Macaca mulatta: one gene and its partner. The protein of the gene in region 2 interacts with the protein of the main gene of each other region in a pairwise test. Links are inferred from orthologs where the notes say so. Each region holds a gene or a part of one and is shown on either strand. Other genes may lie near its edges.

The links. The genes of interacting proteins can lie anywhere in the genome.
Region 1: the proteins of AP1M1 (region 2) and ENTR1 interact in binary tests that used the Homo sapiens proteins (3 or more experiments, as listed by UniProt). The two-hybrid records come from large-scale screens. The link is inferred for Macaca mulatta from reciprocal best matches to the Homo sapiens genes AP1M1 and ENTR1.

Annotation. Positions count from the first base shown.
Region 1 is NC_133420.1:6,091,073-6,097,253, reverse strand, and holds the start of ENTR1 (endosome-associated-trafficking regulator 1), read right to left. Parts: upstream 3,695-6,181; 5' UTR 3,534-3,694; coding exon 3,464-3,533; intron 3,376-3,463; coding exon 3,226-3,375; intron 2,190-3,225; coding exon 2,121-2,189; intron 739-2,120; coding exon 626-738; intron 356-625; coding exon 1-355. Other genes in the region: PMPCA (mitochondrial-processing peptidase subunit alpha), read left to right, coding at 3,794-3,864, 5,117-5,319, 5,610-5,689, 5,930-6,012. UniProt on the Homo sapiens protein: Endosome-associated protein that plays a role in membrane receptor sorting, cytokinesis and ciliogenesis. Involved in the endosome-to-plasma membrane trafficking and recycling of SNX27-retromer-dependent cargo proteins, such as GLUT1.
Region 2 is NC_133424.1:16,684,121-16,690,201, reverse strand, and holds part of AP1M1 (AP-1 complex subunit mu-1), read right to left. Parts: intron 5,301-6,081; coding exon of another isoform or gene 5,273-5,300; coding exon 5,116-5,272; intron 3,429-5,115; exon of another isoform or gene 2,917-3,428; intron 2,738-2,916; exon of another isoform or gene 2,718-2,737; coding exon of another isoform or gene 2,690-2,717; coding exon 2,622-2,689; intron 1,049-2,621; coding exon 918-1,048; intron 45-917; coding exon 1-44. UniProt on the Homo sapiens protein: Subunit of clathrin-associated adaptor protein complex 1 that plays a role in protein sorting in the trans-Golgi network (TGN) and endosomes.

The DNA.
Region 1 (6,181 bases), on a different chromosome or scaffold from region 2:
CAAAGTCTGCGCTAGGACTCCCTGCCGGAGAGGCCGGAGACACGCGAGAATCAGTGTCACTCAATGCCCATGGGGGCAGAGACTCAGGCCCTGCCAGCTCCGACGGGGTGGAGAAAAAGGAAAGGTATGTGCTGCAGGGCGATGTGCCGGCACGGACCCGCTCGGGGTGAGTCTGCTCGATGGCGGACGGCAGGTAGGCCCCACTCCATCCAGTGTCCTCATCCTCCTCCTCATCCAGGAGGTCACCGGCCCCTGTCGGGTCCTCAAAAAATGGCTGCTGATACTCCAGGCCATACCCCCCGGTTTGGGAGGGTGGGGAGTTGTGGTCAAGTCCCAGTGAATGCCTCGAGGCTTCCTGAAAAAAAAAAAAAGACAAAAAACAGTGGAGGCCATGCTTCTGACTCAGAGTGCATCTTCCTTTCTCTCTGTTCTGCCTCGGAACACGAAGAAAGGCCCAATCTCATCTACTGGAAGGAGCCCAGCAGCTTCTGGGCCCAGAGCTGCTCCCCAGCACTGATGCCTGTCCTGCCCTGCCACACTCGTGCACAATCTCCTCCAAAGGAAGCCGCAGAGGCCAGAACAGAAACGTCCCGCGGAGCCATCACCCACAATGCCGTGGATTTACCTTTGCATAAATCCTGCTGGCCGGGTCCTCTTTTGACAGGCCGAGGTTCTTGGTCTTCAGAAACTCTTTAAAGGAGAATGGATTTGCCTCTTCGAGATCTTCAAATTTGTCATCTGAAATAACAGACGTCACAGATGCATAAAGTCTACTGAAGAGCGCTGAAAGGGAACCTTCCTGTTCACCTGTCTTTCCGGAGCATGGCCACATGTGAGATCGGGTAGCCACGCTCGTCATTCTACCATGACTCAGGTGGCACTAAGAAGCGTGAAGGAGGCCGGGCACGGTGGCTCACGCCTGTAATCCCAGCACTTTGGGAGGCCGAGGCAGGTGAATCATGAGGTCAGGAGATCGAGACCATCCTGGCTAACACGGTGAAACCCCGTCTCTACTAAAAATGCAAAAAATTAGCCGGGTGTGGCGGCGGGCGCCTGTAGTCCCAGCTACTCCGGAGGCTGAGGCAGGAGAATGGTGTGAACCCGGGAGGCGGAGCTTGCAGTGAGCCAAGATCGCACCACTGCACTCCCGCCTGGGCAACTGAGCGAGACTCCCTCTCAAAAAAAAGCGTGAAGGTGGCTGAAAGTGGGCAGTGACACGGACGTGCGTCTGCATTTGAAATCTTCTCCTTCCACCCCTCGGCCCCTGCTCCCACACTGTGCTGCCCACTAAAACTCCCCTGGGGAGCTTTAAAACGACCCAGGCCACTCCACTGCACACACCCAGTTCCCTGGTGTGAAGTCAACCTGTGCTGGGAGCTCTCAAAGCTCCTCAGGTGATCGGGCACGGTGGCTCACTCCTGTACTCCCAGCACTGTGGGAGGCCGAGGCGGGCGGATCACGAAGTCAGGAGATTGAGACCATCCCGGCTAACACGGTGATAACCCATCTCTACTAAAAATACAAAAAATTAGCCGGGCCTGGTGGCGGGCCCCTGTAGTCCCAGCTACTCAGGAGGCTGAGGCAGGAGAATGGCAAGAACCCGGGAGGCGGAGCTTGCCGTGAGCTGAGATCGCAGCCTGGGCGACAGAGTGAGACTCCGTCTCAAAAAAACAAACAGCAGCAGCAACGACAAGTTCCTCAGGTGCTGCAAAACTGGGGATCCGGCGCTCTTTGACCCTCTTCCCGACTTTCCTACTTAGGTAACCTAGCTAACGCCCACCTTTCTCTTCTCCCTCTCACCGCTTTCCCACCCTCCGGGGACTTAAGCAGCCACGCTTGGCCCTCCCAGCTGCGAGCCCCATGTAATGCCGGCTCCTGTGGCCCCAGCCCCTGAGGTGGGACTTCCCCACTCCCTGACGTTCCCTCACCCAGGTTCTTCTGCCCTTGCACCTCGCTCCTACTCTAGGGTCAAGACTGAACCCTTGAAATCCCACCCCCACCTGCTCTTTTGGGCTCCAGATACACCATGTAGCCCGTCATATCGACAGTCCTGCCACCAGACACGTGCCTGGCACTGTGTTGGATGGAGACAAGAAGAAAAGGTGACTGAACTACTCTACCTCCAAAATGTGTCTCGTGGGCTCCTGACGGGCTCTGCTTAGAATATTTCCCCTTTTCATAGCCAAAATCTGCAAAGAAACAATGTCACCCACCATGACGGCAGGAAGTCTTTATGACCTCACATTTGTGTTTTGGTTTTGTTGCACATGGAGTCTCCACTGCAGTGGTTCTCACAGCCTAGAGAACCTCTAGAGAACCTTTTTTTTTTTTTTTTTTGAGACGGAGTCTCACTCTGTTGCCCAGGCTGGAGTGCAGTGGCGCAATCTCAGCTCACTGCAAGCTCCGCCTCCCAGGTTCACGACATTCTCCTGCCTCAGCCTCCCCAGTAGCTGGACATACAGGTGCCCACCACCACGCCCGGCTAATTTTTTGTATCTTTTAGTAGAGACAGGGTTTCACCATGTTAGCCAGGATGGTCTCAATCTCCTGACCTCGTGATCCACCTGCCTCGGCCTCCCAAAGTGCTGGGATTCCAGGCGTGAGCCACCGCGCCCGGTGGGCCAAGAGAACTTTAAAAAACACGAGCTCCCGGACTTGTGACCCTGGAGATGGCCTGACTCACACAGACTGGCCCTGGTATCTGTGGTCTGAAAGGGGTTCCTCAGTAGGTTTTGAAGCCCAGTCGGAGCGAGCGTGTCCTCTTGTCTTGTGACACCCCCCGAATGTCCTCAGACCCTGGCAGCGCCACACAAACACTCCCGCACACCCCGGGCACCCAGCAGCACTTCTGCTCGGGTAGAACGAGGATGAACCAGATCTGGCCGCTGCCCGGCTGTGGAGGCAGATGGAATGCTCCAGCTCCGTTTCCAATCACCGCCCACTGGGGTGAAGGCCCCCCCACTTCAGCCCCACGAGGAAAGCGGGCCGGCTCCTGTGCTCCCTGGGCACTACCCATCCTGAACTGGAACTGTCTGGGGGGAGGTCTCCCCACAACCAGACTGTGAGCTCCTAGCAGGGGACTCCGCCTTTGAATTCCGAGTGCCTGGCACGCAGTGAGCGCGGTGCTCATTGTTGGGTCAATGGACGAGCTCTTGCGGCAGCGGAGGTGCCACAGGTGGCGCGGGAACTGGAGGCGTCCCCGGGGCCGGCGCCCTCGTCTCTCACCTGTGTCTCCCACGGAAGCCAGCACCGGGCTGGGCACATAGCACATAAAGGCCGGCCGAATGCCGAAGAAGGGGGAGTCCAGGTCCCTGCCATGGGGGCGCTCACAGTCTAGCTGGGGGAGACAAGACCGGCGCTCATAGAACGCTGGAGCTGGAAGCAACGACAACAGCGACTTTACTGCGCGCCGGGGCGGCCGCCGCCCACCTGAACCGCTGGACTCGGCCCCTGCCCCGCTCACCGTCGGGAATGGCGAGGCTCCGGACTCGGGACAGCGGGGTGGCGCCCGGGCGGCGCGGGTAGCCCGACATCGCCGCGGGCCAGGCGGGGCAGGACCTGCCTAGCCCGGCAGCGGCGGCTCCATGGCCCCGGCTCCGCCCGGGCCGCGGTCCGTGTCGCCCGCCCCCGTCGCCTGCCGCTTGGCCGTCCCCGCTCCTCCGAGCCTCTCGCCGCTGCTTCCGCTCCGAGCACCGGAAGCGCGCGCCGGAACGCCTCGGGTTGTCGCCCAAGGGGGCGGGGAATCCGCGGGCGGAAGCGGAAGTGACGACAGAAGCAGGGGCGGAGACGCAAGATGGCGGCTGTGGTGCTCGTGGCGACGCGGTTGCTGCGGGGGTCGGGTTGTTGGAGCGGCTCGCGGCTGAGGTGAGCCAAAGGCGAACCAGGCTTCAGCCTGGGACCGGGGCGGCTTGAGTCTTTCTGGACGCTCCGTCTTTGGTTTCTACAGGCGACATGGCGCCCGTTCGACGGGCTCGCACTTCGGGACACTGGTGTGGTCCCCGAGGCGACGGGGGCCCTGCCTTGCCTTGCGCCTCAAGCCCGGGGATGCAGTCCTATCTGTCTCTCTCCCCGGCTGCTGGGTCCTCTCCCCCCCTTCACCTCCCGGGTCGACGGGCCTTGTCCGAGGCCATGCTTCATCGCTGCCCCTGTGCTTTTGCCGCGTGCTCCCTCAGGAGGCTGAGCCGGTGGGGCCCCAGCTCTGTTAGACCCGCAGGGTTCTGACACGAGGGTCCAGGCTCTCGGTTGATGCGCTCGAGCGTCCGTTGATCTCTGACGTTTAAGAACCCTTTCCGTCCCCACCGCCCCTCCCGCCCAAGTGACCGGGCCTGCCTTTCCCCACGCTGGAACTTTGTTCCGACAGCACAGGCATCGCCCCTCCCCACACAACGAGCGCTGTTTCAGGGGTGCGGAGGTGCTGCCTCCAGGAGATGGATACAGACTGGAGCGTGAACAAAATATCGGCAATCGCGTAAATGCTTTGGAGTAAACAAGCAGCCTTTCGTGATAGGAAATAACAGGAAAGACTAGAGTGATGAGGGATAGTTCTCCATCAGGGTGACATTTAAGGGAAGAGCTGAAGAATGAAAGAAGGGGTAGGCATGGGCAAAGGGCAAAGAAGCTTTGGGGGTGAAGAAGCTTTGGAATGAATCAAATGTGTTCCAGGAATTGACAGAATAATCAGTGTGACCAGGACCTATGGGGCTGTGGGGGTTCAAGAGATGAGTTTGGAGAGGGAGATAGAGACCAAGTCACACCCCACCTTCGGACCAGGTTAATAAGGGGTATGGCTTCTAAGACTTCAGTGATACTGTTGGAGGGCAGAGCCGTTAAGTGCTTTATGTGTACAAACTGCATTTCGAGTGGGTTACTGTTAATAAGCCCTGTTTTACAGAAATAGCACGAAGACCCAAAGGATGGAACCAGCTTGCTCCAGGTCCTGTGGCTGAGCCTTTGTGGTCAGCCTTTGCTTTGTCTTCCAAAGTCTATAGAAATAAGTACTTTAGAAAGGCAGATACTTACTTTTAACCCAGACAAAACATAACTAACTGCACTTAAGAGGTCATCACAGGTTCGTTGTCTCAAGCCTGTTGCAACTGGGCCGCTTTCTCTGTTTTAGGTTTGGACCTTCTGCGTACAGACGGTTTAGTAGTGGTGGTGCCTATCCCAACATCCCCCTCTCTTCTCCTTTACCTGGAGTACCCAAGCCTGTTTTTGCTTCAGTTGATGGACAGGAAAAGTTTGAAACCAAAGTAACCACATTGGATAATGGGCTTCACGTAGCATCTCAGAATAAGTTTGGACAGTTTTGTACAGTAGGAAGTAAGTACTGTTGTGGTGCTGTGGGTGGTCCCGCATTTTTAACATGCACGTGCTTTAGTTGACTGTTAGTTGTAGTTAGCATGCCAATTACGAATTGTACCCTGAGTGGAAGCAAAGTATACAATTTCATGAATGTTGACCTACATATATACCTGTGAAACCATCAGCACAATCACTCTCATATAGTTAAATCTGATTATCATGTCATATTGAAATTTTAAAATGTTTCTCTTGATTAAATTTTATTTTGAATATCTGATTTAACCTGTCAATTTTCTTTTTCCTACTAGTTCTTATTAATTCAGGATCAAGATATGAAGCAAAATATCTTAGTGGAATTGCTCACTTTTTGGAAAAATTGGCATTTTCGGTCAGTGCCCAGTTTTGTAATTTTTTAGACTATACTTTTGAAGGATGTTTGAGATTTTTCTTCTCTATAATGGTTATTTTCATAAATTATTAAGTTGCTAAGTTAATGCTAATAAAAGACTTTTAAGTTAATAGATAATTTTTGTACGTAGTGTTAAAAGCAAAAGTAAATTTTAAAAAGATTTGCATTTTAGGGGTAGTCTGGATTGCTCATTTAGGTTTTCCTATTTATTTTTACTAGTCTACTGCTCGATTTGACAGCAAAGATGAAATTCTGCTTACACTGGAAAAGCACGGGGGTATTTGTGACTGCCAGACATCAAGGTACACCAGCTTTTACGTACAAAGTGACTTTGTGTCTGTGGGAACTGATGTCCTCGTCGTTGCTCAGATTCTGTCTAAGCCCCTCCCACTGGGAGGTGTGGAGATTCACAGGGAGAAGAGCCCTGTCCTGGATGGAGAGTTGGGTGGACAGCGCTTACACAGAGAAGCA
Region 2 (6,081 bases):
GCGGGGCCCCTGTTTCCAGCTTGTGGCCTTCCTGAGTGATGTACCTGTGGGGCCACATGCTCAGAGTGAAGCAGGTGGCACCTGCACCAACGCCACAGCTTCTGGCCCTGATATTTCGGCAGGGTCAGGGCGGGTGCAGGGCAGGTTCTGGCCACCTTGAAAACAGCCCCTGGATTTCAGCAGCTCCAGAAAAGGCAGCCTGTGGTTTCACGTGGGGCTGCTTCATTCAGGAAGATCTTCACAATTTCTAAAACCCAATACACTCAAGTTATAGAGTCTAAAGTGCTCATTTGGGGGGGCCAAGAAGACCATGTTGGGGAGGAAAATAAGAACTGGGTGGAGCTGCTTCCCGTCCCCGCTGAGCATGCGGATGGAACTGCCACCTCGGAGCGTAACCTGGTGACCCCATCCCGCTGAGGGAGCAGCAGGTGCAGTGGTTAGGAACACAGGCTTCTCGGGGAGTCTGTTTGCTTGACCCCCTGTAAAACGGGGAGACGGTAAATGGGGAGGCTATGAATCGAGTGAATGTGAAGTGCTGGGGCCTGGCCCCCAGGAAGCACTTAATTCACGTTGCTTACTATCTGAAGGGCAGGATTCCAAAGAGGGGAGATTTCGATCAAGTCTCATTTTATGACAGTAAAAACAAAGGAGCTACCTTAGTAGCAAGGGACTGAGGGCATCTGTGCGGATGGAGAGTAAAGATGAGGAGCAGGAAAAGCACTGTTATGTGGGGGTGTAGAGGAGGAAACGAATTAAAACCACTAAGCAACTTAGTAAAAACCCGAATACGGCTGGAGGTGGAAGGCAGGTGGGGGACAACACAAACACAAATTTGCCCCTTCTGTTTCCACACCTGATGACATCAATATCATGACACTGCCCAGGCCTTGCCCCAGGCCCCACCCTTGCCCACTCACTCCTGCAGGATCTTGCTGTCGGTGGTCTGGGGGTAGCCGAAGTCCATGAGCTCATCCAGCAGCTCGTAGATGATGACAAAGTTGTCCCGGATGCTCTCCTCCTCCAGCTCCTTGAAGTACTCGGAAAACACCTGTGGCGGTGAGGGAGGGAGGGAGGGAGGGACGAGAGGCAGATCGTTGAGCAGACAGATGAGGAATGAATGAACGCTTGCACACATTCATTTGCCCACTAAGTCCTACCAACAGCCCACTTCCCAGGCTCAGTGGCGTGCTACAGGCCCTGGACCCAGGTAATGGGGCAGGAGGACAGCAGTGGTTGGCTGTGGGGTGGGACCAGTCTGGAGCTGCTACAGATGTCCCCGTTCTCTTCCCTGCCCAGACACCCCCAGGCAGGGAGCCCCTCCTGAGCAACTGTAACTGTCATCCCTTCCTGAGTCTGGAGTGACTCAGGCGAGGACCTGATGAGCTACCATCTTCCCCATTTCAATGGAAAGCTCAGAAGGTTAAGGAAGGGACGCCAAAGAAGAGGGGCTGTTAGAAGCACTTTTGCAGGCACGAATGCTGAAGGAAGGGGCGTCACTAAAGCAGAAAGGAACTGCCCAACCCTTGGGTGAGGACCTTCCCCTTCCCTCATCCCCCATCCTCTGATCTGCTGACCCCATGCGCTTTAGGACTGTGATCGCCCGGCCCCTGCTTGGAAATCACAGGTGTCATAGCCAGGCCCAGCCCTGCCTGTGACAGCACCACGGGTCCAGTGAAGCAGCCCTTGGCCTGCACGCGGGGCCTTCCCAGATGACCCTCAGCTCCTTCCCCAAGCCCTCACCGCCCAGGCTTGCCCCTGTTCCCCAACATTCTGCACAGGCGGCATCAGTGAGGGATGAAAGCTTTCCCAGGCCCAGCACAGGCCTCCTGGGTCCTATTCCCCACTTTCTTGAGCCCCAGAGCCCGCCCCGGCCAGGCTCATCCTCTCCAGGAAGCCAGCAGCAGCCTCCTCACTGGCTTCCAGGCTGCCTTCAAGTCCTCCTTCTGCTCAGCAGCCAGAGAGGCTGCTTTAGATCAAACCATGTCTCGTCAGTCTCCTGCTTAAAGCCCTCCACCACCTTTCATCAGAAGTGGAACAAAATCCACACTCCTGTATAACCTGCCCTCTTCCCAGCTGACCTCAGCTTTATACTCTGCCAAAGGCATGCCGGCCTCCCTGGCCGCACCACACACACACCTGTCCCAGGACCTTTGCCCTGGCTGCTGTCTGCATCTCACTGGCAGCCTGGGCCTGGCGTGTCAGCTCTCTCCAAGGTGGGCCTCGGGCATCTGTGCCTTGAGAGCCCCCTGGGACATTCTAAGCTGGCTCAGCTCTGCAGCTCTGCTGGTTATTCCAGCCCCATCAGCTGGTCACCCCATATCCTTCCAAAGCTGGCTGGGGGACTTGCTTGTCCCTTCCAGGGTCAGGGCACCACTGCTCAGCCCCACCTTTTCCTGTTCACTTTCCTTTCTTCCCCGGGGTCAGGGAGCAACACGAGCTACAGAATTCCACAGGCATGGTGGCGGGGTTTGGGGCTCCCCTTTGCCACTTCCTGGGGTTCCAGCCCCAGCACTCTCTAGGGAGGCCACGGCTGTCTCTAAGGTGGCCGGGTATGGGGAGATCCACAAGCAGAGCCAAGACAGCTGCCACTCAAGCCCACAGCCCCGCTGAGCGAGACTCACCTGCACCACCTTATAGAGGAAGGAGAAGACCAGCGACACGCACGCATTCTTCTTGGATGTGGCAACCACTGCACGGTGGTCACAGTTAAGGAGCATTCAGAGGCTGGGGCTGCTGCCTGGAAGATCCCGGTTCATGGAGGGACCCTCTAACCCTCACAACCCTCAGAGCCTTCCCTACCCCCACTCCCAGCCGTTTACCTGGCCCATGGTCGGCTACCAAGCTCCTGGTCCAAGCTACACCTGGGACACAGGAGTCACCAGAAGGACATGCTCCCAGGCCCCAGGGAGCACTCACCGACATAGAGAATCACAGGGATGGCAGGTGGCACAGGGCACCTGTCCCAGTGGCTGGGTGAGGAGTTGCCCTGAGCAGGGAGGGAGTGAGGCTCATTCGAGGAGCAGAAAGCAGGACACACTGGCCCTGCTCCTCCAAAGCCGACACCTCGTCATGACCCTGATGAGGTCCAGGGTCCCCTGGCCAGACTCTGCGGCAAGTAGCCAGGGCCAATTCTGGCTTCAGCCCTTCCTGTCTTTGGTAACACAAGCCTTGGCCCATGAAATAAACCTTTCTAGAGAAACCTCAATATTTCTCTCCTGTGTAATGGGGGCCTGTGAATGAACTCACCAAGGCAATGTACGTGAGATGTCTGGCACAGATGCTCCCTTCTGCCACGGGAGCCAGCCCCTGCCGCCCAGGGTCAGTGTGTGCTGGGCGCTTCCTGTTCCTTTTTCCCTAATGGGCCCCCAGAGAAGGCTGGTTCTTCCTCTGTAGGCCCACGCACTGCACCCCGGACATCCCTGTTCACAGCATGTCTGTGCCGCCTGGCTTGTCTGCCCAGAGGTGAGCTCTAGGAGGGAGGGCGGGGGCTGCATCCTCTCTTCCCGCCTCACCCCAGCACAGCACAGGGCCCCAGGAAAGGGACGCTGGCCCAGTCAAACGAGCGCTGGCCTCCCTCCTGCTGCCTGGCAATGTGCCCTCCCCAGATGCTTTATAAGCAGGGGCAGGGGTGCCTCTCAGCTTCATGGGTGCCATTCAGCCACGGCCTTGCTGAGAACTGTCCCGGCTGGGGGTGAAAGGATGTCCACTCAGCCAGAGGGGTGAGCCCAGGTGTGAAATGTGGGGGCCCAACCAGAAACTGATCTGACGGCTCCTGCTGAGCTCGGACCACAGCCACCTCACCCTCCTGTCAATACCTGGGCGGCTTCAGAGGACTGTCAGCTCCCTGGGTTAAAAGCCACCTAAGATCATCTTCAGAGCTATTCTCAGGGCCTTCCAGAACCAGGTGAAATACACACAGAGGCGCACCACAGGGAGCCGTGGACCAGCACGGCCCACATGGGAATGTGCACACGAGTCACCAGGAACAGATCTTCCTACAATGCAGATTCTGACAGGGCAGGGCTGGGTGGAGCCCGGGATTCTGCATTTCCAAAGGGCTCCCAGGGGATGTTCTGGCCCATTGGCCACACTGTACTACTGGCAAGGCCCCAAGTGTCTCCAAGAACACAGGAAAGGGCAGAGAGCCCATGCTGCTGGGAGCAATGTGCACAAGTCAGCTCAACTGACCCGAATGGTCCTGCAGCGAGGGGTCGTTGTTCCCACCAAACTGTGGGAAGGTGAGGGATTCGCCTCCAGCCCCATGGCTGCTGGAGCTGGGGCTCAAACCAGGCTGTGGCTGCAAAGCAGGCCCTTCCGCAGTAGTGTGGGTACTGAGATGGGCCTGCAGGTCTGCCCAAAGCCGTGGGGTGGCCAGTTAGACCTCCTGGATAGAAACTGGCTTGGCCAAGTCTCCCCATGGGCCCAAGGACAGGAAGGGTGGGGGACTCTGAGATCTGGGTGGGGCTGTGAGAAGTCTCTCCCCTTCTCTGTACCCTACCACCCCTCCGTGGTCCAGGCCACTTCCCTCCCACCTGCACGATGGCCCCAGCCTACTCCTCACCTACCCATGTCCTCTCCTGTCCCCACAGTCTTGCCCCACTCAGCAGCCAGAAACCTCCAGAAGATGCACATCTAAAAGCCTCCAAAGACTTCCTGTCACATTTCAGATGATGTTCTTTGAGACCCCAGACCCCGCTGACCACTCCGGCCTCACTGCTGCCACACGCCCCCTCTCGAGGGCTCCAGCCACCCTGATTGCAGCTGCTGGAATGAGCCTTTCCCTTGCAGAGCCTTCACCCACGCCTAGTGCCTGCCTGCCCCTCCAGCTGGCAGACGCCAGGCCTCCCTGCAGGCTTCCTCCAGGGTGTCACTTCCCTTCCTGGGCCCCTGGGCCAAAGAAGTTCAAGTCACACCTGCTCCTCTCCCCACACCCATCACGCGTGTCATCGTGCATTCTCTGCCTGTCTCTGCAGGCAGCAGGGAGCTCCGGGAGGGCTTGGCTGTATCCAATGCTCCCGCTGTGCAAAAACCAGTCCCGGCTGAAGGCGTGTGGACGTGCACACACACCAACACCCACACAGGAGTCTCCTGGGAGCCGCCCCAGTAAAGGGATACGATACAGGTTGTTGTGTTTGATCCACATGAAACGGACCCCTCCGTGGGCCAGGATGGGTGACAGCATCCCCTCCTCCTCCTTCTCCATCAGGATGGGCATGAAGTGCTCCACCTCCGACATGTCCACGTCGCCACGGTAGTTCCGGCAGATGAGCACCTGGGGTGGGGAAGGAAGAGGAATGATGCTTGCATTTTCAATTCTACAATCCAGGGGCTTGGGGCAGGGGGTGAGATGCACCAGCCTGCTTCCCTCTGGGGACTCCGGTCATGGCCCCTATCCGCAAAAGAGCAGGACTCGAGGCCGTGCTGATCTCCATCCCCCAGGGAATTCCTGGAGAAGAGCATCTCCCAGTGTGAACGTCCACAGGGGCCACTGCAGTTCTTTGCAGGGTGAGGGTAGAGGGGAACTCTGCGGCAAAGGTCCAGGACCGAATCATTCAGAGACATCAGGTTAAGTAATGCCTCACAAGCTCTCAACGCAGACCTTCTCAGAGCCTTTGCCGGGCCAACGCACCCTGCTCTCCCGCCTGTGTCAGGGCGCCCCCTCCCGCTGAAGATTCGTATTGACTGAAGTCCACCGGTGGCCTGAAGAGGAGAAGCCCTCTTGCCGGTCTCTCTCTTTCATAGCCTGTGGGTCGGGATATACAGCACCCAGAAACCCCGTCCACTGCTGAGAGGAAAGGAAAATGGGACAGCTACTTTGGTGCAGTCTGGTAGTTTCTCAAAAAGTGAAACCCAGTGTTACTATCCGATCCAGTCATTCCTCTCTCTGGTATTTACCCAAGAGAAATGAAACCACATGTCTGCACAAAGACTAGCACAAGAATGTTAACAGCAGCTTTAACTGAAACAGACCCAGACTAGAAACAATGCCAATGTCCTTCAGCAGGTGAACTAGAAACAAACTGTCCGTGCACACCATGAGAAGCACGCCTCGGCAACGAAAGGGCTCGGACTCCCGATACG